4 linked regions of the Drosophila melanogaster genome follow. The protein of the gene in region 3 interacts with the protein of the main gene of each other region in a pairwise test. Each region holds a gene or a part of one and is shown on either strand. Other genes may lie near its edges. The genes, in order: CG14323, CG10324, Srp54 and CG14490.

Region 1 (7,170 bases), on a different chromosome or scaffold from region 3:
CGTTATCTGCGAATGAAAAATCACGTCATCTGAAGTGCAGATATAAAAGTCACACACTCACCTTGTTTTGCCTCATGTTCTCTATTGGATCTAAGCGTTGCCAAGTTTAGAACGGCCGTATTTATAGCAATGTCCCAGCACTTCCTGAACTTCCTTTTCTTGCATAGTTCAAAGAACTTGCAAAAACTTGATCCATAACCAGTTTATCGAACCTATCAATTTTTATTGTATCAAAACTTAGTCACAGCAACTAACAGCAAAATATAAGAAACCGTGTGAAAAACATTGAAGTCGGTTAAGTTCAGATGGGTTGAAGGTCGCCTTTTGGTCGTGTTCCGGAGTAATGTGGGCGTAGGTTTTTAAGAACATTGCTATAAAAACTGAAACAATCGGTGGCTAAGCAAGTCAGTCACATTTAAGACGAACTAGAAACATGGTCAAGATTAGCTGTTCGGTGAGTAGTGGCTTGTTATACAGAAGATCACATGTTTCCTAATAATTTGGATTCCCTTTTATTAGCTGCTGGTGCTCCTTTCGCTTTGCGCTTGTTCATACGCTCAATATGAGTATCCACAGCAGCGCCCTTCGCCGGGAACTGGAGCTCAGCCTACTGGTGGGCAAGTAGACAATCGTATCCTTGGAAATCTCCTCGGTGGCGGAGGAGGACTCCTTGGAGGCGGCGGTGGCGGTGGAGGACTTTTCGGAAATTTATTGGGCGGCCTTTTGGGTGGCAATCGTCCGCAACCGCAGCCCTACCCAGTGCCAGTTCCCGCATATGGGGGCGGATTCGGCGGTGGATACCCAATCGGAGGAGGCGGATATGCTGGCGGTCTTCCTGGTGGTTATCCAGGTGGCTTTGGCGGCGGCTTCGGTGGCGGATACGGCAATCCATACGGTGGATATTATGGCTAAGACCACAATTTTGGTACCTCTAAAAGTATTATTTGATTTATAAGTTGTTGACATTGACCATTTAATTAAAATTCATGAAAAAAACAAGTTCGGCATTTTATTATTTTCGGTGACCGCTTGATATAAGGGGATGTAGCTCAGATGGTAGAGCGCTCGCTTAGCATGTGAGAGGTACGGGGATCGATGCCCCGCATCTCCAGGAATAAGTCTTATATTTTCTTTTTCCCAAACAAATGTTTATTTTTCGTTTTTCTTAATTAAAGTGGTTTTGCTTGTTTATTTACAGCAGTGTTTTTGTTTGCGTAGCCTGATAAAGTAAAATGTGCAATTATCAGGCCAACGGACAAGCGGCTCAATGGTCTAGGGGTATGATTCTCGCTTTGGGTGCGAGAGGTCCCGGGTTCAAATCCCGGTTGAGCCCGTTCTAACTTTTTGGAACTTCGTAAAATATTTTTTAAATAAATATATTTAAATTTTTTTAAGCAAAACATAATTTAAAAAAATATAGTTGATAACAAAAATTATTATCAATTGGAGATGCGGGGCATCGATCCCCGTACCTCTCACATGCTAAGCGAGCGCTCTACCATCTGAGCTACATCCCCGTCAGAAACTGTTGTGTCAAAGTACCAAAATAGCCAGCGTAGATGTTCAAAATCACTTCTTTTGGTCAACTCATTTGGTAATTGAAAACATAAGTTGTTTTTTGGTCGTAATTTCTGGTTTCAGCCTTGAATGCTTGAAAGTAGATAAGAATTGAGCGTTGTGGGCTCTTTTAAATTTACTTATGCATTTCATTTCCGTTTCCGGTCAGTGAAAGTTGTCCGAAAGAAAGCACAAACACCTGTCAATTGAGTCTGGAGTCATCCCACTTGCTTTTCCTTATTGTCCTAGAACAAACATAAATAAACTCCAGGACAAATGCATATGAAGACGGAGAGCATTGGACAGGAGTCAGCAAACGCCTCAATATGTGGAAAAGCAGATTCCGGTGGCCAGATCCCTTCACTATCTGCACTTTCACACTTCTGTTTATTCAACTGTCGCATGGTTGTTTGCTTCTGCCACGCCCTTGGGCATGGGCAAGCTCTATTATTATTTTCGCAAGTTATATAAAAATAATAACAGGAGCGGACACGGAGCTGACCAGGCCAATGGATGGCCATCCATTATGCTGCCGGGCATTTATTTGCCAAACAATTGAATCTCTCCCCAGCTCCTTGGGCAGCTTGCAACCACTTCATCAGCCATCCTCGTTTGCAGCTATCTTATGGTTTATGATGGAATCAAAACAAATGCCGGAGCTACGATAGCTCGGCTTTGCTCGTCCGGAACCTCGAGCTCATCCTTCAGCTGGTGAGGATGATGATGATGAGTTTGTTTATGCAGATTGCTTGTGGAGTTTTTCCTTTGGCGTTAATGGATAAATGGACGTGTGAGTGTGTGCGTGGGTAACCCTTTTTGAGGATTTTTCCGGGGAGCTGCGCCACTTTCGAAATCTAGTTGGTAATGTAAACAAAATGATTTTAATTGCACAGATGAACGGTTTTCATTTAAATTTATTGATACCAAGCAATGGAAACACTTAATTTTACGGTCTTTATTAAATTGCGAAATTATTTAAGTACACTTTTTTAATAGCTTAAAAACATTGGTCAGCACTAAAATAATAATCCAATAATTTTGTAGGATATTGGAGTTTTCTTGTCTTAGTTTAAGCAATAGATTGCGGTTTTTAGTGTGCAAAACATTTTCCGGTTTCGAAAACTTAATTTTATCTCTTTTCACTTAACTTTTTTTGACGCACACATTTCAATTAAAATTGTATTGTTTTCTTTTACTTTGCTCTGCTCTGTTTACTTGGGCGAGCGCTTCCTCCGGCTACTTGTTTTCCCATTCATCCCAGGGTATTGGAAGGGTATTGGAAACGGTCCTGGCCGTTGTCCAGGTCCTGCTCCTGGTCCAGAATACCCACCTGCGCTGGCCTGTACCGTTCCAACGGATGTGGGCGGTGGCATACCAGGTGGTGGTGGAGGGAAAGGCGGAGCTGGTCGTATCGGCGAAGCTCCGCTCAGATACCCATAGCCCATGGGACTTCCAGACGTCGCGGAATTTTGATCACTTTGATAGATATACACATTGCTGTTCCCCTGAGCCTGCTGCTGATTCAGAGGCATGGTGTAAAATCCTGCAGGTGTAGCGTAGTAACCTGGTTGAGGACCAATAGCCGCCAGGCTGCAGCCATATACAGGACAATTGTAATAACCAGATATGGGATAGGCGGGGCCGGCGAATATGGGATCCGGATTGTGAGAGGCCATCCAGCGGTTACGCCAACGACGAAACAAAGTACCCAGAAAGAAAAACGATCGTCCATCGATTGGTTCTGGTCCTGTATGATCTGGTTCCTCATCCACATCCAAGTCGGTTTTCTGAGATCCATTGCTGTTGACCAGGATCAGCAAAAATAAAATCTGGAGCACTGCCATTTTCCCAACTGCATCTGCTGAAATCTGTAGGCGGACTACTTTGCGTCCGATCTCAACTCCAACTCAGTGAGTCCCACGAAGACAGGCTGCCTAATGGGCCTTGTAATGAACATTCAAGTGCTGTAACTTTGGCAAAGCAAACAAAGCGTGAAATTTTATTAATACAAAAACATTCAAGGCTGCCCCAGTTACCGACCGAAATCTGTACAAGTATTAAAATGCATATCCGAAAATGTATATCTTAAGTTAAGTTAAGTATTTGAATAAAAATTATATAAAACGATTTCCTTTTTTAGGCATTCATTTTATTTATTTTCATTTCATTTATATGAAAACCCAAAATTAAATTAAAACTAAAGCAAAGATTGCCAAATTTATCTAATTAAAACGCTAAACCACTATTTCTTTATACATACAGTCCAAAATAGTTAGCGGCGCTCACATCGGGGATGTAGCTCAGATGGTAGAGCGCTCGCTTAGCATGTGAGAGGTACGGGGATCGATGCCCCGCATCTCCAGAAGGTTTATTTTTATTTTATATTTCCGGAATTTACATATTGGTTTAAAAAAATTTAAAAATAGGTATAAAAAAAAGTTGCAGTGATTTCCCAAGTATGCATCCCTAAAAATGTTCTCCTTTCCCACGTAAATACTCGCGAGCCGCACGTACGAGCAATCTTTCATTATTAAATGTACAGAAAAACTCGAAGTTTTTGACTTTTGCTGCTTGATTTTATTTTGCCGCATTACATACTTTTGTGAGGGCAACAAAAACCGTTTTGAGTTATGAGTTCTGCGTGCCAGGTGTACTAACATTTTAAGCAGTTGAAGATAATGCGACGCCTAAACACCCTGTAAGGCTGTGCTGCTCAAGAACTCTATACTCATTGAATCAGGAAAAACACCAACTTCTGAGCCATGCCCGCATACCCAACTTTTAGCGGGAGGCCTGCGAATAAAGTGTGCAAAAAACAGGTGACAACAATCAGTACGAGGTAAAAAAGGAGGTGGCGCACGTCCGTGTCTGGAAAAACAAAAACAAGAACCACCAAGGGCTGTGAAAATTCACGCGCCCGTGAAAATTTCGCACGTTTTTACGGACCATGAACTTCATACACCCCGACCAGATATTCTTTCAAAATATGAGTTATGGCTGCATAGATTAGCTGGCAACTATTTGATTTCTCCAACACGAAATTCATTTAATTAAAAAAATACGCAAAGTCAACAGAAAAACTAACTAAACTTTCCACAAACTTTGTTGCCATCAAAACAATAAAAACCACAATCCTCGGCCGGGCTTTGCCTTTGTTATCGAAGCTCGAAACGGACAATGGAGTGTCCTTTTTTACGACAATGCCAAATCCGGCGGAACCACATAAATTATGTTAATGCCTCAGCTATGTACACGCCCACTGTGTGCGACTTTGGCCGAACTGACCGTCCAGGATAATCAGAAAAATACACAGCACACATCGTCCTGGACGAGGGACATTTGCTTAGTGGTTTTGTGAGATAGTTTCTGGGCTGTCCTGTACATTGAGAAAATTGCTGACAATTGCTAAAAATCTCGGGTGACGATGAGGCTTGGATCAGCTTTTTTTTGGGGTGGGCGTTAGAGCATTGCGAATGATATATGTATGCTTGAACACATGTTGTTGGGGCCCAGAAACTGAGCTTATATCGTCTGGGCAAATATTAGGGGGATATTTTAGTGGAGATGGCCAAACTTTGAGATCATCAAAAGGGAATCGTTCAACTAACTTTTGTATCCGATAAGTGAAGTCCCGCAGCAGACGACCAGATATTAATTCTCGGGGGGAAATTAGAAGAGGACATTGCTGTATCCGATTTACAAGCAAAAAGGACTCTGCAAATTAAATTTATAAATATAATATACCATTGTTCGGCTTGTCAGAAGTTTGTTTTTCCCTCCATTGTTACATAATTATATGGCCCGGAGTTATCGGTGGGCTTGAGTGCGTTTGTGTATAAAAAAGCAAGATAAGCCAGAACCGAGTGCATGTAAATAAATTGAAACAAATAAGCTGACTGTCGGCTAATTGCAGGGAGACCCCTTTATCCAGAAAAGCGAATGAAATTGAAAAGCCGTTCGTTCCATTTGCAAGGCAAATATACGAGGCCCCGGATCTCCGGTCGTTTTTTTTCCACCTTGCGGTGGACAACATCGCAACATGCTGTCGAACATTTCCGCCGGACGGTTTCCGTTATGCAACGCCACTGCAAGGACAACAACAGGTGGATGTCGAGAAGGATGTGCGAGGTGGTGGTGATTCTGAGTCCGTAGCCACTGTTTACGCCGACCAAACTTTTTGTCAGCTGTCATTGGGGCAGACGTGCAAAAGAAAAACGAGAGTTTTCCCTTTATTCTGATTCCAAAAGACTGACAGCTGAATACCCCGTAGGAAAAAAAACACGCACAACACAATTCGCGTTTGAGAGAAGGCCCCGGCGAGATTCGAACTCACGATCTCCTGTTTACTAGACAGGCGCTTTAACCAACTAAGCCACGGCGCCACTTATGTTGAACCTGAAAATTTGGAAACTTCTGTGGTGGGTGGTTGGAGGTATCAATGATCATTAAAAATAACTCAAGGTCAAGTATTGATTTTGATAGATGATACTATGAAGATAAAATTAAAAAGATATGAAAAACTAAAAAATACTGACACAATCTTTTGTGTAGGCCCCGGCGAGATTCGAACTCACGATCTCCTGTTTACTAGACAGGCGCTTTAACCAACTAAGCCACGGCGCCATGCGTTATATGCCTGACCAAATTTTCATAATTGCCTTGCCCAATTCAAATTAAAGTGTCAATAGCTGAAATGACATGCTCTTCAAATAGAAGATCTTAAAAAGTAATTCAACGAGGTCCACGTATAAAAATGTATGTAAAGTACTAGCGTTCTTTGAATGGGAAGAACCATACAAAATATTTTCTTTATTTACAATACGTATACCAGCATTTGGGAGTCCCACTGAGATTATTCACAATATCTAAAGGGGAAAAACAAATGCATATGGCTGTGTATTTAAGGATGATTAACAGACAAGAGAAAATTAAAGGGGGAAATCACCGAAGTTGCGTACTTTTGCGACAAAAGACATGAGAGTATAAAAGCGACCGTCGGAAATATGCAGTCACTCAAACTAAGAGATAGAGTGCAAGCAGAAAGACGAAATCAAAGAATTATATAAGATGGAATGTCAGGCTTCAGGAAACCCAAAGAGCGGAGCGGCAACCGCCCAATGCGGAGTAAGGGTCGGTGATGATCTTGCCAATGCTCGAGCCGGAGTATTCGCCTCCACTCCAGGCGCTGGGGGTCCGGTCACCAAGGGAGTTTATGGAGCGGTCAACGCGTAAGTCCAGTAAAAGTTCTTAAAAATGCTAAAATAAATATTATAATTTTGTAAACTTTCTTCTCTTCATCCCACAGCAATGGTCATGCACTCTCACTGCAGCATGGCCACATCGAGGGCGTGGGCAGCACTACCACTGCCGCAGCCCAAGCCAATCTCTTCCAGAGCAATAACGCCGCTCTGAATGCCACTGCATTTCACAGTCATAGCCGATCGCACGATCAGTTTGGCGGAGGACTCAATTTGCAAACTGGAACGGGTCACCAGGCGGCAGTGGGGGTCACTAGGGTTCCTCAGTTCGGCATGACCGCCGTCCAGGCTTCTGGCACAGCAAATCTGTATACCTCTCCAAGTGGCAATCTCAACCTCAACGCCACCGGAAGTG
Region 2 (8,292 bases), on a different chromosome or scaffold from region 3:
TTTTTAATACAAACTTTTAAAACAGAGTTGTAAAGGGAAAAATTCGATAAGTTCCGATTGAAAGTGCAATCGCTGTTTGAGTGAAACAACCCCTGAATCAGTCATTTCAAAACGTCGATCAACGGTCACACTGCGACTTTGGCGACTTAAAAAACACCCAAGAAAATTGATTTTTCGCTCAAACCGAAAGCAACACCTTTGGGCATCAAATAGATTTCTCGGAATTGAACGCGCACCGCTAGGAAACAAAGAAAAGCCAGCATGGCAGCATCGCAGGTTGACCAGGTGAGCGAAGGGTGGAACTGCCGAAAGCTTTCCGGCCGGAAAACGGCGTCGCCATTGAAGCCCCATTAGTTAATATCATAATGATTCCTCATTTTCCGGCATTTTCCAGAAACGAGCACTTAACAAATTAAAGCACGACTTGGAGCCTTTCCGGACAGCCATCGTGGGAGCGTACGGCGTGCTAACCTGGGAGAAGCAGTACTACGCCGGAGTGGTGTTTGGCGTCATCAGCTGCCTGTACCTGGTGCTGTGGTACCTGGACTTGTCGCTGATTACCCTGCTGTCGCTGCTCGGTGTCATTAGCATTTTGCTGAACTACGCATTCCCCATGGTGTCGCGCCTGATCTTTGGCGGAGTCAACTGGGATGGCGACCAGGAGGCCAAGTTCGAGGACGTGTGCGGCCAGGTGTGCGCCGTCAAGGGCAGCCTGGTGGTCTGGTACGAGTACCTCTTCAACGAGCGGAAGTCCACAGTGGTGAGTAGATGCGGTAGAGACCGTGTGTGTATATGTATATGAAAACAGAGAAGCAGTTTCAGGGCCTAGTATGTGCAGTAGATCTTCTTCTGCAAGCTCAAGTGTAAATAAAAACTTCGGGTTCTATTATTATTTCATCTCACATTTATTCGTTTTGATTCCAGTTTGTAATCGTCATGAGTTTGGGTCTTTTGGCTATGGCCTGGATTGGAGCCATCATTAACAATCTACTGCTTATGTACTTGGCCACCCTACTCATCCTCATGTGGCCAGGACTACAGAACAAGGACATTTTTAAGGCCATCACCCAAAGGGCCTCGAAGATTATTAACGAGAAGATCCAGTGCGGCAAAAGGAAGCTGCAGTAAAGGAAAGCAACCAGATAAACTCATCACCATTTGACCAAAAATATAAAACATGCCTAAGTCATCTACTTGCCATTATGCACACATCGCATCACTAAATCACACATTAGGCGCATTGAATTTGAAACTATAAATATCTTAAAAGATAAGAGCAGCGCATACAGAAAAAAAAAACTCGGAAAACTAGCAAATCCGTGGTTCTGGCCCCATCACATCTCCTACTATAAGTTTGTAACATGTAAGACAGAAGTATTCTCGAAACGAGGCGTACGGAGAGAGAAAAAAACGCGCAACAAAAGACAAGGCATTTTTGTGATTATTTTGTGAGTTAATTGAAATTTATGATAATCCCAAGTAAGATAAAAAAAGGAACTTAAGCGTCTAATGAACTATATTTAAATAAAGATTTCAACTAAATAGATCAATCACTGACGGTCTCTTGACCTTGATCGCGTGCGGGACCTGACATGCTTGCTCCTCTTGGTCTTCTTTTTGTGCTTGCTGTGGTGACGACGATGGTTTTCACCGAGGCTGTCATCGCTCTCTAAGCTGGAGTCGTTGTCCGCCTTTCTCGACTTGTTCTTGGACTTCTTTGAGTGTTTTCTTGACTTGTGGCTGGATGATTTCTTCTTGTGCTTCCTGCGTTCATATGCAGAGTCGGAGTCGCTCTCGGTGGACTCTCCCGTATCGTCTGCCTCGTCTGAACTACTCTTTGTTCTTCTGGTGCTTCGGGGACTTTGCGAACGCTTTTGGTCACGGTCTTCCCGCTTCGACTTAGATGGGCTTCTGCCTCTGGGACTCGGCGAACGACGACGCTCACGTTCCTCGCGTTTAGATACAGAGGAGCTACCACTCCGCACATACTTCTTTTCTCGATCCACCTCCTCTTTGTTAGATTTGGCTTCCTTGTACGATTTTCGCTCGTCTTTGTACGTCCTGCGATGTTCGTCTTTGTACGTTTTTTTGTCTTCATATTTGTAAGACCTTTTATCTTCTTCCTTGCATTTCATGCGATAGTCTTCTTTACTAGATCTCTGGTCCCCTGGCTTCGAACTCTTTTGATTTTGAGCTTCATCCCGGTCTGATCTAATTTCTTCCCTGCGGTCTCTGTCCCTTCTTCCTGACGGATTTTCCTGCTTCACAATAATCTGGCCATGCTCGTTTTCATTTTTTTTGAATTCTTCGTATTTGGCAGTGTCTGAAAGTAAATGTAAAAGAAATATAAAAATGTCACAAATATAAAGGATTTGCATTTTCCAGGCTCCACTTACTTATGCACTTGCCATACTGAGAGTACTCCTTGCGGGATACGGGCTGACAAAGGAACTCGTTGAACGCCTCTTTGGCCCCTCCAATTGCCATTTTGACAATTACTCGCCCTGCATGGTCATCAAAACCTTGGATTTGGCCATACTGATCCTTCTGCTTTCCGCCCAGAATGCGCACGTACGCCTGCTTCTTAATCTCCAGTACCTCGTTCTTCTCCGGCTGGACCAGTAGAGCTTTAGGTTTGAGCGCCTTATCTGCTCCCAGGCCCATGCCTTTGGGTCGCAGAAAGGGGGCATCATCGATGGGTCCTGAGCCCTTCTTTTTTGGCGGTGGATCAACCCAGCCCATGCCGCGCAGCATGGCTAGGCCAAATTGTTGTATCGGTATGTTGTCATAGTCATCTAGTGTTGCCTCCTTGGCACCATCGAGAGGCAGTTCGTCTGCGCTTAGGGCGGGCAGGACAAGTTTCTGGTCATCTAGGCCTTCGGCACCGTTATTTTGGATGGCAGATATCAATTCCCGAGCTGCTCTCTGTTCCAGACTCTCCGTTGGACCGCCTGCGGTGACCTCTGCTATAGACTGAGCCACTGGAGTCACCTCCTCTGGATCCGGTTCCTCCTCGCCCAGCAGAACTGCCCGCCTCCTCATCAGACTCGCCAAAGCGGACGAAGTCTTCTGCATGCCTATCATTTTGATGGTAAGAGGAGCAGCTTCCACCTTTTCGCTAAATATTACATATGAGTATAAAACTATTTCAAGATATTTTAACTTACTCGACTGGCATGATTTCGTTTCCTTCCAAGCATTTTATCAACTCCACCTTGCTTTCCTCTTTCGGCTGCTTGCTGGGCAGAATGTTTGGTTTCTTGGACAATTTACTAAAGCCAAAAGATATCTTCTTGGCCTCCATGTTGTCTAGTTAAAAAATTAATAACTATTAAAAACAAATTGAAGCCGAAATGTATCGTAAACAAACAGGCCACAGCTGACTCGCGGTTTGTTATCGATATCGATAATTTATTTAATTTATGAAACGCTTACACTACACTTTTAAAGTATTTGCAAAACTTATTTGTTTTTCCATTTATATATAAAAACTACCATGAAATCCATTTAATACGTTTTGAGCAGTTTTATTGAATACAGCACAGGATCTTCAAATATTAAAAAGTTCGACGCTGTTTATGTAACTCATCATTCCAAGTAATCACTTTTCCCCCGTTATATTCAGAATATCCTCCAACATTTTCTTTTTCGAAGGTGATACAATTTTCATAAATTATATTTTAACTTCTTTTGAGTTTAGTTGGTTAGGCTTTTTAGGCTTCAAAATTTCCACATTTTAATTATGATGTGATAGAAATATGCTATATAACATAAATTTAAAATCCATTCGTAATATAAATTAATTTCCAGTATCACTTACACCGTAGAAAATATTATTTATTGTTACAAGTTTAATGTTTTGATTTCGCTTAAACCTCAGGGTGGAAAATTTAAAACCAAGTTAGGCGCCTTCAAAAAATCGCAGTTATGACGAATGTAATTCTGTGACATCGATAACAAAAGCTGCATAGTGTAAGTATACTGTTTCTCGATATCGATTCTTAAGAGAGCTGCTGCTTCGAATTGTGGAGAATTTGAATTAAACTTATAAGCGATCGCAAAAGTCAGTTAGCAGTAAGTGAGGAAAGAAAAGAAACTAGAAGAAGGAACTGGCAGAAGTAACTAACAAGCCGGTCCGCTCAATATCCTATCGAACCTTCTCGAATAATGTGTCATCGGCGGTTCTAACCTCACTCATTCTCTTTCAAACAGCGGCAGCGCCAGCACGAGTTCAATTGTTTTCACGCAGAAATAAATTAAACAGCCAGAAAGATGTTCGGTGGACAGCAGCCAATACTCGTGTTGAGTGAGTATGAAATTTGCACGTCGTAGAGCCCAATTGCAATCGAATTACCCGCCGACAGGTCAAAACACAAAGAGAGAATCGGGCCGCAAAGTGCAGTTGGAGAACATCCAAGCCGGAAAGGTATGCGTGACTCACATGTCTGGGTCTTGGGTTTTTGTGTTCTCGCGTTTTCCGACCATCTGTTGATTAAAACGTCTTTTTCCAGGCCATCGCCGATGTGATACGCACATGTCTGGGGCCACAGGCCATGCTGAAGATGCTGATGGACCCAATGGGCGGCATCGTGATGACCAACGATGGCAACGCCATCCTGCGTGAGATCACTGTGCAGCACCCGGCGGCCAAGAGCATGATTGAAATTGCTCGCACACAAGACGAGGAGGTTGGCGATGGTACCACATCGGTCATCGTCCTGGCCGGCGAGATGCTGGCCGCCGCCGAGCCCTTCCTCCAGCAACAGATCCACCCCACTGTTATCATTCGCGCCTATCGCGAGGCCCTCGAGGACATCGTCGGCCACCTGCAGTCCCAGCTTAGCATCCAGTTGGACGTCAAGGATAAGGCCAAGATGGCCGATGTGGTCAAGGCCTGTGTGGGCACCAAGTTCATTGGCAAGTGGTCCGACCTTGCCGTCAAGATTGCCCTGGACGCAGTCGAGACAGTGACGCTAAGTGAGAACGGCCGTCTGGAGGTAGACATTAAACGGTAAGAACGAAATTTGTTATGCATATTATTTTTGAATAAATAATTTTAACTTTGTTACTTTCACAGCTATGCCAAGGTGGAGAAGATCCCGGGTGGCGCCATCGAGGAGTCGTGTGTTCTTAAGGGCGTGATGATCAACAAAGACGTGACGCATCCCAAGATGCGACGCCTCATCGAGAATCCCCGCATCGTGCTGCTTGACTGCTCGCTGGAGTACAAGAAGGGCGAGAGCCAAACCAACGTGGAGATAATCGGGGAGCAAGACTTCACCCGCATGCTGCAGATCGAGGAGGAGTTTGTGCAGCGCATCTGCGCCGACATCATTGCCGTGAAACCGGATTTGGTATTCACTGAGAAGGGTGTCTCCGATCTCGCCCAGCACTATTTGCTGAAGGCTGGCATCACGGCCATCCGTCGGCTGCGTAAGACTGACAATCTGCGCATCGCCCGCGCCTGTGGTGCCACCATCGTGAACCGCACTGAGGAGCTAACCGAGAAGGATGTGGGCACGGGAGCTGGACTGTTCGAAGTCAAAAAGATCGGCGATGAGTACTTCACTTTCGTGACGGAGTGCAAGGAGCCCAAGGCCTGCACCATCCTGCTGCGCGGTGCCAGCAAGGACATCTTGAACGAAACGGAGCGCAACCTGCAGGACGCCCTGCACGTGGCCCGCAACTTGGTGCTGGAGCCACGCCTGGTGGCTGGCGGCGGAGCCGTTGAGATGGCTGCCTCCCAGCTGCTCACGCGCAAGCAGGTTAAGGGACCATACACGGCGGTGGCCCACGCCCTAGAGATCATACCGCGCACACTGGCTCAGAATTGCGGCGCCAACACGATCCGTGCTCTGACTGCTCTCCGCGCCAAGCACGCCTCCCACACCGGCGATGGTGTCTGCGCCTGGGGCATCGACGGCGAGTCCGGCGAAATCGTGGACATGAACGTGAAGAACATCTGGGAGCCGCTGGCCGTCAAGCTTCAGACCTACAAGACCGCCGTGGAGACGGCCATCCTGCTGCTGCGCATCGATGATATCGTCTCTGGATCAAAGAAACGCGGCGGCAACGAGCCCACCAATCCGGCGGCCATGGCCCAGGGTCAGGAGTAGTAGCCTGCGATTAACCACGTGTATTAATAATGCTTACTATCCTTTAATACTTAATTTAACACTCAAAAGAAAAAACAAAACAAAATCCCACACACGCCACCCCAAATGTTTAACATTTAGCTTCAGCCAGGCATCGTTGGCTTCTCTGGAAGAAGGAAACCCATCCGCCGGCCGCCTACACACAAAATTCAAATGCATTTGCTCTCATTAACAGTACACAAATAAAATTGTTAAAACTCATAGCTGCTTATAAATCCCTTATTTAATGAGGTACTTGTAAAAATTAAATACAATAATTAGGCGTAGCTAATTTACCTCCTCCTGGTTGCAATGTTCTACTTTACGGACTTCATATAGCCTTTCGTCCATCAGTTTGAGCACTTCTAAGCCAATTGAAGTGAAGTGGGGATGCAGATATCGGGCAAACAGCTCCAGGCAGTTTGGTTCCAGCTGGTCCTTATCCAACAGGAGGTGCTCCCTCAGCCAAGACAGCAGTGGTGGCTTGTGGGAATGCACAATGCTGGGCACGCTGAAGATCAGCTCGGTCTGTTGGATATCTTTTCCATAGTTTTCAGAAGCATCGGAGCGACAGGCCACGTAGAGCATCTCGTAAGGCTGCTTCTGGGTGAGATCCGACTGCGGGGGAGCAATTAGTTCATGGTCTGTGCTAAGTTTGTACCATCGGAGCTTGTGGAGCAACCGGAGATTCCAACTGGGCAGCAGCTGCTGCTCCAGGGCCAACTGATGCAGCGTCGAATTGGTGCACCAGATGGCCACCAGTGACCGTGGGTGCGTAAGCTTCGAGAGCGGTATGTGCGACAATTGCTCATTGCTCAGCATCGAGTATCCCAGCTCCGGCTTGGCCCGCTTCAGCCTGCGGATGTACTTATTCCGCCACGGAGGATCCAGCACGATGAGATCGTAGGCGGGCAGAAGTTGGTGCAGTAGTGCAGGCAGATTGTCCACATTGTGGTTGAAGAATCGGGATTGATTGGGAATCAAGTACACGCCACGGGATCCATCAACTCTCAGAAACCGCTGCATCCGTCCACTTTCGTTGGCTCCATGCAACTGGGGCACGTTGTAGCCATCCTCCCAGTGCCTCTTCATCGGTGAACTGTCCTCCGGTTCAACGGGCTTGCTCAGAAGCTCTAGATATTCATTCACTAAGTGTAAATCCTCCAAGGACGACGCATCTTCTACGCCGGCTTTCCTTTTGCGCTTCCTGGTCTTGTCTTCCTCAATGCCTTTGTCCGTCTTTTTGGCATGGAACTGGAACAGTTCGGACTTGAGCTTAAATTCGTCATATGCTTCGTTTATAAGTGTCTTGTGATCCAAGAACACTGCGAATTTCGAATCTTCAGTTTTCTTTTGCAATTTCAACATTTCCGATATTGAAATGTCTATCTGAAAATCATCCCTGAGTCTATCGATAGTTTTCCCAGTGCGCGAGATATTACAAAAATATAAAATAATTGAATACCGACTGAGTTATAATTTTACAATTCTCTAAGATGTAAGGTCATTAAAAACAAAGGTCTATATGCACAGTTAAATAAAGATAAATATCAAAGTTTTAATGTTATACCCACTACTAATAACGGGTCTTATTCCTGCTCAAATTAAAATAATCCTTTATATGGATTAACAAATCAGCATGGAGTTTTCGATTTCCACGACGGTTATAGTAGCTAAGCTCCTTGCTAGAATTTTCGGCTACAAATCTCAGCATTGTCCACATGTTCAGCTGATATTTGCACCGCAAGGGATTATGCTTTTGGTTTGCCTGGAGGAAGAAGAAGTCGGGTGGCGACTCTACGAGGAACTTTTTGGGATTCTAGATCCATGTATATCCATCTTGTACAGAAGCACTGACTCCTGTTTCAGTTTATCGGCCAGCCAATCCAGATTTGCCATAAGACTACTATTGACTTCAGCGCCATTTTGCAAGGAGTTGTAGAAGCAAATCGCTATATCATTATCACTGGCGTACATAAGTTCGTTCCAGCTATCAAGGCTTATATTCTCAACCTTGGGATCTCTAGCAGTGGGCTCCTCGGCTATCCCCTTAATCACCTGATCGCAGAAATCCCTTAGACTCTCCAGGTCGGGCAGTTTAGGCCCAGTGAAATCCCCAAAGAAGAATACCTTTCCAGTTGAATTTGCGGCGTATATC
Region 3 (8,575 bases):
AGGATGGCCCAAGGCGATGGCGCCTCCGTTCACATTCAGTTTGGAGGTATCCAACTTCAGGGCATCGGCGCAAGCCAATGTCTGGGCAGCAAAGGCTTCGTTGATCTCAATCAGATCAATATCCTCCAGTTTCTTGCCGGAAACCTTCAGGACGTTCTGAATGGCGGGTACTGGGCCAATGCCCATGATCTCAGGCTTGACTCCGACAAAGGAGAAGGCCACTAGACGGGCCAGAGGCTTCAGGTTGTACTCCTTAAGCGCCTCCTCGGAGGCCACGATCACTGCGGAGGCACCATCACAGATTCCGGATGCTGTTCCGGCAGTCACAACGCCGTTCTTCTTAAACAGCGAAGGCAGCTTGTTCAGACCCTCGATGGTGGTCTTGGGACGTGGGTGCTCGTCCACCACAAAGTCCACTTCCTTTCCCTTGACCTTAAGTTTGATGGGTGTGATCTCGGCATTGAATGCTCCCTCCTTCTGACCCTTCTCCCAGTTCTTTTGCGAGAGCAGAGAGAACTCATCCACACGCTCCCTACTGATCTTGTACTGATCGGCCAGGTTCTCAGCGGTCAGAGCCATGGGCAGCTTGCAGTAGGTATCGGTGAGGCCAGCCCATAGAGCATCCTCCAGATTGTAGCTGGCACCCAAGGTGGTTCCGAATCTCACATTACGGGCAATGAAAGGGCTCTGTGACATGTTCTCCACGCCGCCGGTAAGGGCTATCTTGGCACCGCCGACCAGGATGTCCTGGGCTCCGTTTACGATCGACTGGAAGCCGGAACCGCAAAGCCGGTTGATTCCAAGGGCGGGCTTCTCGATGGGCACACCGCAGTTGAGACCCACATGACGGGGCACATAAATACCATCGGTGGAGGAGGACTGCGAAGTGGAAGAGAAGAGATTTTTAAGACTTACAAGTTACAAAAAAACATAATATAAGCATGTAGTTCCAGTTTTTGATCTACTGAGTTTGCAATTAAGCAATAATAACAAATAAATATCGAGTAAATTAATTTACATAACCAGATGTACAAGTATTTTATCACATTTACATATTTCTTTTAGTTTAATAACATCTTAATATTGTTTTAATCCGACGCCTTAAGAGTTTCTATTTTAGGATCTTCAATCCAACTTACCGCGATCACATTTCCCACGATGACGGTGTCCACTTGCTCACCCTTAAGACCGGCAGCATCCAGGGCAGCCTTGGCCGCCGTGGTTTGCAATTGGGTCTGGTTGATGCCCTTCAAGGATCCACCGAAGGTTCCGAAGGCCGTACGCTTGGCAGCCACAATATAGATACCTTTACAAAGGAGAAGAAACATACGAACATATGTATAACATATATAATGTGCGTAGTGATAGCACAAATTTAGCTCGAACGAAGGCGGATTTTTGTTTTCGATTCAACAGGTCCAAAGTGCAACCGGCTGGACGCGGGGGGGGGGGATAGCATCAGATAAGACACCAACGAGTCCAAAGTTCAGATCTCTCTAGCGAGATCATCTCTTATCTAGACTTCCAACAGCATAGGCATATCCTAAAGGATTCACATAATTACCTTTGGTTGCGGCAGACATTTTCTAAGGTGGGTTCACTCTTAAATAAAACAACAAATAAATTAATGCAAGTAAAGGCGACTATCGCACTGCAATAACTTTCGACTTCTGGTCGCGATTCGCCGCCATCGCCGACATATTATTGGATGAAAGCTCGAAAAGCTTTACCCCGCTCTCTGACAAACAAAGTGAGACAAGCCCACCGATTACAGCTGTAGAATACACTGTGCAAAATTAGCTGCAGTTTGTTCCTTCCTTTGTTCTTAGTGACGATTAGTCACCATCGCTGAATTTCGATTTTTGATGAAACTCAATCAATCCTCTAGTTTTTAAATACAAGTCTCTTTAATGCGTTCTTAATGTATATTTATCAAAGCAATTTTGCATACTTAAGTACTCCTTACAAAATGTTGATCATACAATGTTTTAAAGTTGGTCTTCATTAGAAAGTTTTTTATTAATTTAACTTGCATTTGTATTGGGTTTTCCTAATAAGAAGACAATAAGATTGTTATAGTTTCCAAATAAACAATCCGTACTTGGCAAAAAATTAAAAAAAATTGTACTGCTATGATACCGATATCATTCATATTTGTATGTACTATTTTTTTCATTACGAAAGAAAATGCTTCAGTTTTAATTAGACTTTATACTTGAAAACTATGACAGAGTTGAGTGAAATACAAATCTCATTGAGGACAATGGGTGTCGGGTTGTACTGGAGACGGGGTTGCTTAAGTTCTGTATTTATTATAAAGTAGTATGCAATCTCTCTAGGTCTAGGGCGAGTTGGAGATGTCCATGTTGTCCGACTTCTCGACACTAACCGATTTGCGTGACTTCGAATCGGCGCTGGATCGTGAGCTCTTAACCTCAGTGTCCTCAGAGATGGATTTGAGTTTGCGAGTTTCGGGAGTACGGGAGCGGTCGCGCCGCCGGGATGACTTGGCGGAAACGATGACCGGATCCTTGCTGCGACTGGACCGTGACTTACTGCCGGTAGCTGGCGGCGGCGAGGGAGAGCTGCGCTTGCTTCTAGATCGGGGAGAACGTGAAGAGTGCTTCTCGCTGCGGTGTGACTTCTTGCTGCGCTCGCGGGATCGGGAACGTTTGCCGTTGCCACTGCCTCCTCCACCGGTGCCATGGGAACGCGAGCTACGTGAGCGTGAGGTGCTGCGGCGATGGCGGGACCTGGAGCGCTTGCCACGCGACCTTGAGGAGCGAGAGTGCTTGCCGCCACGGGAGCGTGATCTCCTGGAACGTGAGGAGCTGCGACGGTGTCGTGATCTTGAGCGCTTGCTGCGAGAACGGGACGAGTGCTTGCCACGCGACCTAGAGCGGCGTGATCGGGACACACTACGTCGCTCTCTGGAACCGGAACGCCTGGAACGGCGTCTCGATGTGGAACGATGCGAGCGGGATCGACTGGTGCGACGGTCCCGGGAACGGGACCGTGATCTCGACCTGCGGCGCTTGTCCTTAGCGAGCATTCCAATTACCGGATCAATGGCCGCTGAGATCATACTCTGCGCCTCTTTCACAATGGTCATGGCCTCCTCAATCTCAGCCTGCGCTGCCTCATTCGACTTTGCCTCCGGCTTGGTTATGGAATACGTGGAGTGGTAGACGCTTAGATGGCCACCCTTGAACTCCTGGCCCTGCATGCGCAGGGCGTGAATAATGCTGGTCTGTTCGCAGAACTCAATCATGCAGTACGTCTTGTTATCCTTCTCGGCCCAACGGGCATACTTCACCTCCCCAGCGCGCTGAAAGCATTCCATCAGATCGTCTAGCCGCCACTCGTTCTTAACATCGCACACGATAATGGTGCGCCGAATCTCCTCGATTTTGCGCGCATCGTAGAACGAGGGTAAGGCCGGGTACTCCGGCAGATTGAATTCCACCAACTTGGGGTCGTACGTCTTGATCACTTGCTGCGGCAGCTGTCCCTCGATGCGGTTAATGACTTCGGGCGGTAGCTTGGAGTCCGGCTTCTGGAGTCCCGGCACAATGGTTCCGTTCTTGAGCATCTCCAGGGCCCGATACTCCTCGGGTATGGCCAGAACGGGTATGACAATTAGGGCGCGATCGATGAACACCGTGTTGGTCAAGTGCTGGGCCACCGGCACACTGGTCGTGTCCGTGTATTTCACATAGCAGATGCGCGACTGCACCGGACAGGAGACATCACGGATTGTCGGGTACAGGCGGATCTCCTCTATCTTGCCAATGTTCCCGAACAGCGTCTGCATCTGGTCCTTGGTGGCCTGCGGCGCTATGTTGGTCACCTGGATCACACGCGGGGTGTTGCCGCCAGCCATGTTTGCCAGTTTATCGGTTTGCCCTTGGCTCGGCAAGCGGTTTATTTGCAATAAAAGTGTTTTCAATTAACCTACAAGAGCAAGCGAAAAAAAGAGAGGGTTGCAACGCGTCCCAATGTTTCGATTGTTGGCCGATTGCTTGCGGTAAGCCGATAACATCTGGCAACTCTGGCAACTTTCTTAATTTACCGCCAGTTTGGGATTTTTTTAAGTTTCTTTCTTTCATTTTGGCATCGGTTTTAATTACTTACGGTTAGGTTGACGAAATCAAATCATATACGATATATACAAAAGCAAATTGTTAGATAATCTCATAGAAGCTTACACTAATGCGTTACAGTTCGATAAAAATAAATGAAAAATAATAATAATCATTAAGCTAATACTTAAATTGGCGCACAGTGTGACCGCATTCCGTTGGAGAAATAGAAATAGGTTTTATCGGGATAATCAAACGGCCGCACTAGCATGCGAATATTCACAAATACCAACTTAAGATTGTAGGAGTTGCAAACAGAATTTGTTAATAAGGACTGACAGATTGCCAGGAAGCGTTTCGCCTTGTCCCACGATGTCGGACAGCACAGTGGCCGCATCTGCGTCGGCCTCCGCCTCATCGTCCGCGAAGTCGAGCCTCAGCGATCTGCGTCAGTTCCGCATCAACAAGAATGCTTCCTCTGTCGTCGCTAGTCCTTCGAGAACTGGTACTTGCTGAGCTAAAATTCCAAGCGATTGACACGGTAGCTAACTGCCTGATTTCAGAGCGTGTGCCTGGAAAGAAGCGCATCCAGGTGATGGCCGATAGTGACAGCGATGGCAACGACTCCCAGACGCCCAAGAAGACCAAACTGGAGCTGACCGTTAAGGAAAAGGAGGAGCGCTACATGGCAGCCGCCAAGATTTCGCCCCACTTTGACACAATGGTAGGTTTCCGGCCGAAATGCCACCAAGGTAAAACGGGGCGATTCGCGGGGAAACGCGCGTCTCTGCATCTGAGTTCGGGGAACATGGCGATTCGGTTCGGCCCGGCGTTGCGAACAGCTGTCGTTAGCCAGGGGCGTCACTGACGGGGATGGGAGCAGTAATAACCCTCTCGTGTAACTGTTTCCACTACTTTGGTGTGCCTCATATAAAATATTTCCGGACATTATCACCGTTCTTATTTGAATTTTAAAATTAATCAGAATATTTTATAGCTTAAAATTGCTCATTTTTAATGCAATATTTTGCATAAATCTCGATTTTAACTGAAATAAATTTCAAATATGTTCCGTAGGCCATCCAGGAGTCTCTTTCCCGCACCAATTGGGATGTGGCCGCTTCCGTGCGATACCTAAGGGAGAACTGCAAGCCCAAGGGGCACAATGGACCACTGGCCAAGTCCAAGCTGAAACCCAGGTCAAACGGAATTAGTGGAGGCAACTTCTCGGATAACGACCATTCGGACGACGATGATGTGAAGCAGTCCAAGGACCAGGTGTATGATAGCGATGACAGCGATAGCGAGATGTCCACCAAGATGACGGGGCAACGTAAAAAAGTTTTCCAGTTTATGAACGAGGCTTCGCTAATTGAACTCCAGTCAGTTAAAACGCTGTCCGAGAAGAAGGCATTAGCCATCATTGATGTGCGACCATTTAGTGATTGGTCTGATTTGCGCCAAAAGCTGGAGAGCATCAGGATGTCGGGTGATCTTTTGAATTACGCTCAAGAGCTGATTAACAAACAGAACACGGTGGCCGCTATTCTAAGTAAGTGCAATAACATGGTGTCGCGTCTGGAGAAGGCGATTTCCAATGGTGCTGGCATTGTGGAGCAACCTAAGCTTCTTAGCAGCGGGTGAGCCTTAACCAGCATGCATGTCCCCATTTGTGTTTCTATTTTCGTTCCTCTTGCAGTCTACAGCTGGCTGATTATCAGATAATTGGCCTTAATTGGCTCACCGTAATGCACAAACAAGAAATGAATGGCATTTTGGCAGATGAAATGGGTCTGGGCAAGACAATTCAGGTTATTGCATTTCTGGCCTATCTAAAGGAGAATGGTCTTAGCCAGGCTGCACATTTAATTGTGGTGCCCTCGTCCACGCTGGATAATTGGGAGGCAGAGATTAGCCGCTGGTGTCCCGAACTGGTGGTGGAGAAGTACCATGGCTCGCAGGACGAGCGAAGGAGAATGCGAGGCCGCTTTGCCAAGGATGGATTTACCGGCTTTGATGTTCTTCTGACCACGTAAATATCCACAAAGCCATAAAAGAATCTAAGCTTAAATTTCTTGTACATTTTGAACAGATATCACATTGTGGGATCCACGCCGGAGGAGAGGAAAATGTTCCGGGTTTGCAAGTTGGACTACGTCATTTTTGATGAAGCCCATATGCTGAAGAACATGACCACGCAACGCTATGCTAACCTTATAACCATAAACGCTAGGATGCGAATCCTGCTCACTGGAACTCCGCTGCAGAACAATCTGCTGGAGCTAATCTCTCTGCTCTGCTTCGTGATGCCCAAATTCTTTGCCAAGAGCATTGAGGACATAAAATCGTTGTTTGCTAAGGTAAAACAAAGATTGGTTTCACACAAAACAATATATAAACTTCATGTTCCTTGCAGAAGGGAAAAAGCGATGGAGATCAGGATGAGGTTTCACAGTTCCAGGAAACACAAATCCAGAGAGCAAAGCGTATCATGAAGCCATTTGTACTCAGACGGCTTAAGAAAGATGTCCTTAAGAACCTGCCCAAGAAGCTAAGCCTGGTGGTAAGTACGTCGGGCGAAAATAAATATTATACAATAATTAAATTGTTTTTTATTTAAAGGAAAAAGTGCCCATGAGCAGTCAACAGAAAATATACTATCACGAGCTGGTCGATTATTATTCCAATAACAAGGGCGAGGTGTGCAGCAGCAGCGAAAGGGCCGGCATAGCGATCATGATGGAGATGCGCCGCATTGCAAACCATCCGTTGCTGATGCGTCACTACTTCACCGACGCCAATCTACGTGGATTCTCTAAGCGCCTGGCTAATGCCAGTTCCTTTAAAAAGACCAACGAGCAATACATCTTTGAAGAGCTAGCCGTTATGTCAGACTTTCAGGTCTATCAGATGATGAACAAGCATGTAAGTGACTATCAAAGAGGTTGTCCAATGACAATGACTAAATTTGTGCATCTTTCAGGAGTTTTACGACGTGAAAATACCCGATAATTTGATATGCGATTCTGGAAAATTCCTCTACCTGGATACGTTGCTTCCAAAACTGAAGGCAGAAGGACACCGTGTGTTGCTTTTCAGCCAGTTCACCATGATGCTGGACATTGTGGAGGAGTATCTGCGAATACGAAAGTTTGGTTTCTGTCGCCTGGACGGGGCGACCGCCGTAAATGTCCGCCAGGATTTGATCACCGACTTCAATGGGGACGATAGCATCTTTGTGTTCCTACTCTCCACCAAAGCCGGTGGCGTTGGCATCAACCTGACGGCTGCCGACACCTGTGTCATTCACGATATCGACTTCAACCCGTACAACGATAAACAGGCCGAGGATCGGTGTCATCGCATGGGACAGCAGCGTCCGGTGACCATTTACCGTCTCATTTCCGAGAGTACCATCGAGGAGGGCATCCTGATGGCCGCCGAAGAGAAGCTAAAACTAGAAAAGGACATTACTTCCAACGAGAAGGGCGAGGTGCACGAGCAGCGATGTGTGGTCAAGCTGTTGACCACAGCCCTTGGCTTGGACAAGGATCAGGAGGAGCAGCTAAACAATTCACTAAACAACTCCATAGCCTCGCCCGCCAAATAGGCATTCTCGTTGTCCTCGTTCTCGTCCTTGTCCCCACCTCCGTATTTATTCTGCGCGAGCATTTGATCAACTTGGTCTAATCGTCCTACCGCTGTCAAATCCTGTTAACATCGTTTGAATTATTCTAACAATATTGTATTTGTATATTTTTTAAACTTGTATGCAAGGAGAGATTTGGTGTATGGTATGCCAAAAGTGGATCATAAATCGAGTTAGTAATTTTTCACCGTTGAGGCGACATTAGTTTTTCTTCATTAGTAACAGCAACATTTCCACGATAAACCAAGGCAGACAAGTTAATATTCTTGTTTTATTGATTTGTCATCATGATTAGTTTTCATTTCTGTAATTTCTGTTTATGTATCGAATTGAAACTATTGTTATAAGGATAAAGATCATTTTGTGTACGAATGCGATCATGTTCATTTATTTCTACATATTTGCTCTATAGTTCGAGCCGCTCGACAACCCTAAACGGATCGCTCTCGCATTTTCCCACGAGATTCTTTTGGTTGTGTGGTGCAAAGAGAAGCGGAGAATCGCTTTCCAGAGAGCACAACTGTAATGAAGAGCTTTCGGCTGGCGCGGCGATTCATCAAGTCTTTAGTCTTCAACTGATCGCTCGCGCCGATGATTTAATTTTTAAGTTAAAGCCTGCGCCCAGTGTAGCAGCCGGCAGCGTTACTCACATCCATATACATACATACGTGCGAATATACATACATGCTCACATAATACGGCGTACATCGATAAATAGATATACCCCGCAGATATAGTGTCTCGATCGACAGCAACGAACCCATGGAAACCTAAAGTAAAACCAAAATTCCAAGGTTCCATTGTCCCGTAGTTAAATGTGTTTAAATCCAATTACATCCCCGAT
Region 4 (7,351 bases), on a different chromosome or scaffold from region 3:
CTGACATACGTGGCTGATCAGGTCACCTGTCCGGAGCAAATGTCCGTGCTGCTGCCACTTTTGGAGCCACTGCAGAAGCTGCGACCTTTGGTTGCCGACCAGGATATGAGCAGTTTACTCCGACGCCTCTTTAAGGCCAGCTCCCATTGCGGCGATTCCAATATAGCATGTCGAATTCAAGCCAGTTACTTGGCCTCGATTACGAATCCGGCACGATTAAGATCACAGGTCTGTTTGTACTATCACAATCTGGGAAAAAAGGGCACCGAGATCAAAAGGTGTGTCTACGAGTGGCACGAGTCCACGCCACTACCTTTCCCTCTCACTCCGGACCAGAAGAAACAGCTGTATGATACCGATTTCTTTGCCTTACTACACTATTTGAGGAGTCCTTCTACGGCTCATATGGAATCACTTATTCGTTGCCGAACGAGTGACTATCATCTGGTACTCTTGGCCAGACAAATGCGAAAGGATGACTCGATTTCGAAGAAATGCATAGAGGTTCATGATAAGCTAAGGCAACAACGTTCGCTCAGTCGAATGGATAACTTGTGCCTGGGCCACGCAAGTGTGGGACTACTACTGGACGCACTGGAGGCTCAAAAAACCAAAGTTTCCACCAAGGAGATAACGGAAAATATGTTCGAGGAGCTGCTACTCAGCAAGAATTTATGGCAGATGAACATACAAAGGGAGCAGCGATTGGTCAACTATGCTAGTGAAGCCATCTCGGCCTTCAGCAACTTCTTCGATCGAGCAGATCAAGAGCCATTGAGCGCAAATGAAACGTCTATTGATTGGGAGGCATTGATTGACGATGCCATCGCTACTGCCAATGCACTTTCAAGTATGGGGTATCAGTCAGAAGAGGATGATGCCTGGCTGTTGCTTCTGAGGATGGGTCGCTTGCTGGAAGATCGTTTTACCTATCTGCGTGCCCTAAATCATTTTCTGTCACAGAATGAGGTTAGTTCTCGTTTAAATCTGAAACTCGGCGAGGAAGTGGAAGTAGCAGAGGAATTGCTGGATGATTTGTGGCCTCAATTGAAAAATGGCAAATTCTTCAAGCGTCAGCAAACTACGGTAATGCTCTGTTTTTGTCACCTCGCCAGTTACTATGCCAGAATGGAATGCTATAGTCATGCCCAGTTGCTTCTATTGCATGTGGAACAACTTCGCGAAGAGTTTCCTGAGAGACAAGGAAAAAGTGATATTGTATTGCTTACACTGCAAACGGTGCGCTTTCGAATTGGGTATCAGCAAAGGAAGCCAACGAATTGCAGGCTGCCGACTCCTCTGCGTCAATTGGACATTCTTCTGGACAATGTGCGAAGTTTTTGCAATCTATCCAGTTTAGATGGCGGCTCATTGCAGCTGCTTCTTTCGACTCTTGTCAGGGAAAGCACCGAGTGCTCTGCGAACAGATTAAGCGAAAGACTGTCCTTCTCCAACATTGCACTACATTTGGTACTCCAATCTGGCTTGGCTTTAAGAGCCATAGAGGTATTCCTTGCATGGTTATGGACCAATTTGCAAATGGAAAGTTTCGACAAGGCGCAATCGAAGTTGAGACTCATCGAGCATTGTTTAGGTATAAAACAGCTGAATCCAACGAGTAGGCCGGAAAAGGAAGCGATTAAGGATGTAGCAATTAGAGATCTGGCTAGTAATATGCATCTCCTCCAGTTGGTGGAGCCGATCAGAAAGCAGCAGCTATTAAATATGGCCTCGCCGAATCTGCTCAAAATGCGACCACATAGCCCAAATCCCCAACTGGACTTGGATCGCTACATAACACTCGATGTGGCGCCAGCGAATCTTCGAGAGAATTCCCAGCTGCAATGCTTGTACTTTGTAACGGGCTGTCTACATGCACGTCTCCGCTTTCTGCAGAGAAACAGCGAACAATTGGACGAATTCTATGGAAGAGCGCATAGTTGGATGCAGGAAAAACCTCCGATGAGTAGCGCTTTGTATCCCATGTTGCATGCCCAGCAGCTGTATCATCTGAACTATCTTCGCTTTGCGCGAAAGCATGTAGAGGCTATATCAACGGCTCAATTGGGCCTTAAAATGCGATCACGCGCGGTCGACATTAACTTCGAGTACAATTTTTTGGCTCAGCTAAAGACGGCTCAGTTAGAACTCAAACCCGTGGGTCAGGATAAGCCACAGGTCAAAATCCTTCGACGTGCTTTGGTATTCAATCACTCACCCGAAGATAAGAAACGAACCGCAATAGGATCGGTTTCAGCAGTCAAGAATACGGCGTCTAAAGTTAAACAGTCGGCCAAAAAGGCACCTCGATTCAGAATTTACGAGGAGCTGGAACTACGACCACCAAGTGCTACCAGTTGCAGTAGCAGCGGTGGCAGCGGAACAGAGAATACACCGCCTTCGGATCACGTGGATCTAAATGCCTGCCAAGCGATCGAGATAAGCGACGATGACGATTCACCTTTGGTGTCCACAAAGAAGACACAACCAAAAAGTAGGGAGAAGGCAAAACCCAAGGCCACATCCAAAGCTTGTAAAGTCCTAACATTGGATAATAGCTTGGAAATAGTAGAAACGCCGACAATAACTACAAGTACACGGAGCACCAGAGCCAGGCTGCGCCAACCAGTAGAGACACCAAAGACAGCGACTCTTTCATCCAAGCGAACGAGGCGCCAGGTTTTGGAAGCACAGGCTCCCGAAACGGAGTCCATTAGCACACGCACACGGCATCGGCACTGATTAGATAGTAGTCTCCTTAGTTCGTATTTATTCTTATCGAAAATGTCTTGGTATTTAAATATATATATATATTGTGTGTAAGTGTTACAAAAGAGCTTTTGACATAAATTCATTGTTTTTATCTTGTGGCAGGGACAGTAGTGACGTTCTACAGATGTCCTTGCTCCAAAAACCGTGCTGAATCCGCTGTCCATTGCTGGCATGGTAAAATACACCTGAGCCCGATTTGCAGCCTCCTTCAAATTGACCCACGTAGCGATTTCCCGTTGCTATGGATAACATATTAACTTATTATCTATAATCTTTATGCATTTTTAAAGTTGCGAAAAAATAAATAAAATGAAACAAATACATCCAAAGGAACATATCTTATTTCTTTATCACACTCACCCGTGAAAAGTAAACCCTTTTCGTGCATCTTGTCCCGAAGCCACTCGCCCACATAGATGCCGCCATCCGCCTGCCATAGGATGCCCTCTCCACTTCGCTGGTCCGCTAGCCACTGACCAAAGTAGACGGATCCGTCCGGATAGAACTGCTTGCCCTCGCCACTCCGCTTGTTCTCCCGCCACTGACCCACGTAGATGCGTTCCATGCGGCCATCGAGCTCCTTGCGACGCAAACTTCCGATGCCATGCCGTTGACCCTTCTGCCAGTGACCCTCGTAGACAAGTCCACTGCTCGTTTGCTTTACCCCAAACCCGTGAGGCTGCTGGCCCAACCATTTGCCCTGGTACTGCCCACCAGGATAACGTTGAGAGCGAACTCCACTACTATATCCGCTCGTACGCGACGACATGTCTTCGATGACTGAGCGCGGGAGCAAGTCCGTCCAATTGCGGCGGTGCCATGTGGTGTCGTCCGACTTTAGGCGGCGGTGTGCGTGCGGTGGTGTCACTTGTCTAATCGAACCCCCCCAGCCAGCAGCAGCATGTCTTGCCACCATTTGGCTTCCTCCAGCAGCGACACGCTAACTTAAGGAGGCCAAAGACATTGGCTCAATAGAAAATCGTTTGTTCCGGTTAAGTGTATGTAGTAAAAATCGTTTAATCAGTCGTATATAAATTACAGCGCTATTTAGCTTACATCGGTAAAGATCGAAAATAGACTGTTATATTTTCCAAAACTATTGGAATACCTATGAATATAATTCGTATATAAATATTGCAGTACATTTTCAAATACTTTATTTTACAATTGTTTTATGTTGCATATAAAATATATCAAATTGTCTCTAAAATTTTGCATTCTTTTAATCCGCATCTATTGTTCAGCTATATATCACGATTAAAAATAAAACTCCAACACCATATATATAGAAAATTCTTTTAATCATAAATTATATGGTATAAATTACAGCGCGGTTTCGCTTACACAATTGGCTTAATATTAAATTTGACAATCAAGTTGTGTCTTAAACGTAAAAAGGGAAGACTGCCTAAGGATGGTTGCAAAAAAAGAAAATCCGGCATGGCATACAATTTAAAATACACGCAATATAAATATGTAACAAATATCAGCTAATTTTTTGAGGAATATTCATCCGAAGTATTGCTTTAATTGGGGTCTTTTATCATTGTCAATATCCGTGCTAATCCGCAATTGCCATAAGTAAAATAAAGGACTACAGCAGCACTCGCACATATATATATATATATAGTAGAAATCTACTGAATTCCGCGTATCACAATTTTAATCAACTACAAATTTACAATATGTGTGTTTCACTAAAAATAATCTGAAGCTTACCCTGAGCCGCTGTCTTTTTCGTTCGATCCACTTGTGCGGATACGCCAAGTGATGCTAGACAATGTCCCCGGATGCGCCATAGTTCATGCCATTATTTCGTATGTTATTGTGATGCTCCAAATGATCCTGCTCCATCTGCTCCTTGAGCATCTCCAGCTCACGGATGCCCGAGACTGTCACCTCATATTTGTGCGACACCAGGGAGCGATAGAAGTGAATGGCGAAGGCCATAAAGATGATCATCACCGGTATGAGGACCACACACGCTGACCAAGCCGCCGGCGGACTTAGGTCATAGAATTTCACCCAGCACAGGATGGCTATCTCCAGTAGAAAGAGTATGAGTCCCAGCAGCGTGGAGAATGCCCACGCCGTTTCAATGTACCAATGGAGACGCTCGTGTGGCGATTCGTGGACCAGGGAAATACTATGCAAATTACACACCGTCTCAATATTTGGCAGGATACAGGTGCTGATCATCAGGGCCAGCATGTGCACCGCCACCAGGAGGGTGGTGCAGATGGCGAAGGCTATCAGCATGCCCGGTGGTACATTCGTATCGTGATCCAGTTGCACCTCCACCATCGCCACCTATGTGAAAATTGCAAAAGTGAAGAAAGTCATTAATGATTTTTATTTAATTTTGGTTAGAAATCGAAACGATTCCCCGGCATCGCCTCTTATTATTATTAGCCATTTCTCGCGAGAACATTGCAAAATTGGCAAATAAGCAACTTTTCTCTTATATTATGTGATCTGAATGGACCTAATTTATCTGATCCGCCCCTAATGCCGCGCCTCCCTTTCTTCAGCATGCTAGGTGTACATGTGGAATGCATAACAAGTTGATGAACCAAAAAAAAAAAGCGACATATAAATACCTCGTCACTCAATTAATTAATATAATAATTCAGCACCTGCAATACTTGCACATTTTCCAATTGATTTATTTAATATTATGTACTGCATACTATAATTTAATAATTTATCTAGATTTAACTGTGTCGTGTGTGGAATTGCTAGACAATAAGTGGGAATTTTAACAATGCTGGGAAACCAACGAATGTATCATGATGTATGTTGATATTTGCTTTGATATTTGCTCCTCTTCAGCAAAACTGCTACAATATTGCAATAGTCTAAACTACCCATAATTAATGGGTGAGAAATACATACGAGTATATGCACGGCAAACAGCTAACAGACTTGTTTGGCCAAGAAAACGATAGTGGGAATAAAACGAAATCTATTTCGTTGGCCCTCAATTTCTTGCTGCCGGCATCGAAAATAATTATGTTGGTTAGCAATATTCACAGGTACAGAAGGCTAATTATTGATGTATGATATATATATATATATATACATATATATATATTTATATATCCCTGTCATGATTGAAATTACTTAAATGCGACTGCGAGTAGGTTAATGGGCACTCAAACGGAACAAATAACAGATTGCATTCCGTTGCGCGATACGCCAAGTGGAAACCACTCTTATTATAAAATAACAATAATTATTTTGTTACAGTGTATGCCATATTCGTGGTGGCATTTTCCGCCTTTTGTGCTGAACAAACAGAAATGCGATGTCCAAATAAAAAGATTATGTGGTTTTTGCCATCATTTCTGGCCCTGCACATTGAGTTGGCTTAATGTTAAAAAAAAAAACATAGAACTATAACCTAGGGCAAAAAAGTAGTTAAATTGTAGTCTACAAAATAGCCTAATAATTCCTAATTGTTTCATTTTAATACACATAAATGCCCAACTTAATGTGATTTTTGCGCCAAATCGCTTTTCCTTCGAAATGTAATTTATAATGGATTTTTATGTGCATTTCCAAGGTATCTATAAGTTAATTGCTCTTTTAGAGATTCAGTTTAAAACTAAACTAATTTGTTACATTATGTATCTTCGATGAAAAATTAGCTTTGTATAATGATGTTGCTTTGATATTTACGTACATTAATTTTAAAACAACAGTTGTCAATGTATTGTATAAACCCTTTGTAAAGTATAAAGTCTCAATAATTAAGAGTTTAAACTCACCATGGCGAATCCGGAGAGCAGGGCGGACGTCTTGCTGGATGCCTTTAGCTTGGCCCGACTAAGCTGGAGCTTCCGCCAGGACAGGTAGGTGGGCGAGTGGAGATCCTCGCCGGACTGCGACATGCTGCTGCTGGCGGTGCGATGGTGTCCGCGCGGCTGAAAGCGGTAGGATTGATTCTGTTGGTAGGTGCGCAACTGAAAGGGCGGCGGCTGGGCCGCAAATGGGGGCGATGCTATGGAGGCTAGTGGTGCTAGTGGCGCTATCGGTGCTACTGCTGAAGCTGCGGCCGCCGCTGAAGCTGCCGCCACTGAAGCCGCATATGCTGGCGACCCGTCTCGCTGCGCAGTGAAGCGTCTCGTTTGCGGCGAATTCGAATTAAACTGGCTGTGATAGAGATACCGCGACGACCCCACAAAATTGCTCGCTCTCAGATTGCCCAGCTGGTGAGCGGGCAGCTGGTGGTGCAGGGGCTGGGCTGTCTGGGTTGTCTGGGTGAGGGGCAGTTGGTGGGCGTGACCGAGGTTCGGTTGCGGGCGCATATAATCGCCGTAGTCACCGGTTGCCGCTGTGGCTGTAGCCGCCGCCGTATAGGCATCCACACTGGCCGCCAATCTGGCAGTGGCATGCAGAGCGCTCGCCAAGGCCGAGGCTGGCTGCCGAATCCCCAAGCGGTTCGGCTGTGGATGCACCTGGTAGCGCCTCGATATCGGCATTACATCCAGGGTCTCACTGCTCGCCGTTCGTTCGGTTGACGATTCGAAGGAGCCCTGCTGGTGGCTCAGCATCAGGCTGCTCTGGCTCAAATTGG

Evidence for each region.
Region 1: the proteins of Srp54 (region 3) and CG14323 interact in a two-hybrid assay, tested with the Drosophila melanogaster proteins (one large-scale study listed by BioGRID).
Region 2: the proteins of Srp54 (region 3) and CG10324 interact in a two-hybrid assay, tested with the Drosophila melanogaster proteins (one large-scale study listed by BioGRID).
Region 4: the proteins of Srp54 (region 3) and CG14490 interact in a two-hybrid assay, tested with the Drosophila melanogaster proteins (one large-scale study listed by BioGRID).

What each region holds. Positions count from the first base shown.
Region 1 is NT_033777.3:17,618,700-17,625,869, forward strand, and holds CG14323 (uncharacterized protein), read right to left. Parts: upstream 3,414-7,170; 5' UTR 3,402-3,413; coding exon 2,769-3,401; 3' UTR 2,500-2,768; downstream 1-2,499. Other genes in the region: CG14324 (uncharacterized protein), read right to left, coding at 1-6, 62-76; CG14326 (uncharacterized protein), read left to right, coding at 434-454, 520-912; AttD (Attacin-D), read left to right, coding at 6,625-6,785, 6,863-7,170.
Region 2 is NT_033777.3:16,643,624-16,651,915, forward strand, and holds CG10324 (uncharacterized protein), read right to left. Parts: upstream 3,382-8,292; 5' UTR 3,305-3,381; coding exon 3,168-3,304; intron 3,119-3,167; coding exon 2,397-3,118; intron 2,324-2,396; coding exon 1,551-2,323; 3' UTR 1,449-1,550; downstream 1-1,448. Other genes in the region: Arl6IP1 (ADP-ribosylation factor-like 6 interacting protein 1), read left to right, coding at 262-285, 395-760, 925-1,128; CCT3 (chaperonin containing TCP1 subunit 3), read left to right, coding at 4,273-4,306, 4,365-4,426, 4,512-5,011, 5,078-6,116; Mettl4 (methyltransferase like 4), read right to left, coding at 6,423-7,502.
Region 3 is NT_033779.5:9,908,356-9,916,930, reverse strand, and holds Srp54 (splicing regulatory protein 54), read right to left. Parts: upstream 4,021-8,575; 5' UTR 3,884-4,020; coding exon 2,342-3,883; 3' UTR 1,887-2,341; downstream 1-1,886. Other genes in the region: yip2 (yippee interacting protein 2), read right to left, coding at 1-879, 1,140-1,306, 1,565-1,583; Etl1, read left to right, coding at 4,455-4,587, 4,646-4,806, 5,160-5,722, 5,782-6,114, 6,175-6,442, 6,499-6,645, 6,705-7,007, 7,066-7,692.
Region 4 is NT_033778.4:17,856,989-17,864,339, reverse strand, and holds CG14490 (uncharacterized protein), read right to left. Parts: upstream 3,581-7,351; 5' UTR 3,542-3,580; coding exon 3,133-3,541; intron 3,068-3,132; exon of another isoform or gene 3,012-3,067; coding exon 2,827-3,011; 3' UTR 2,749-2,826; downstream 1-2,748. Other genes in the region: thr (three rows), read left to right, coding at 1-2,742; orai, read right to left, coding at 4,546-5,082, 6,543-7,351.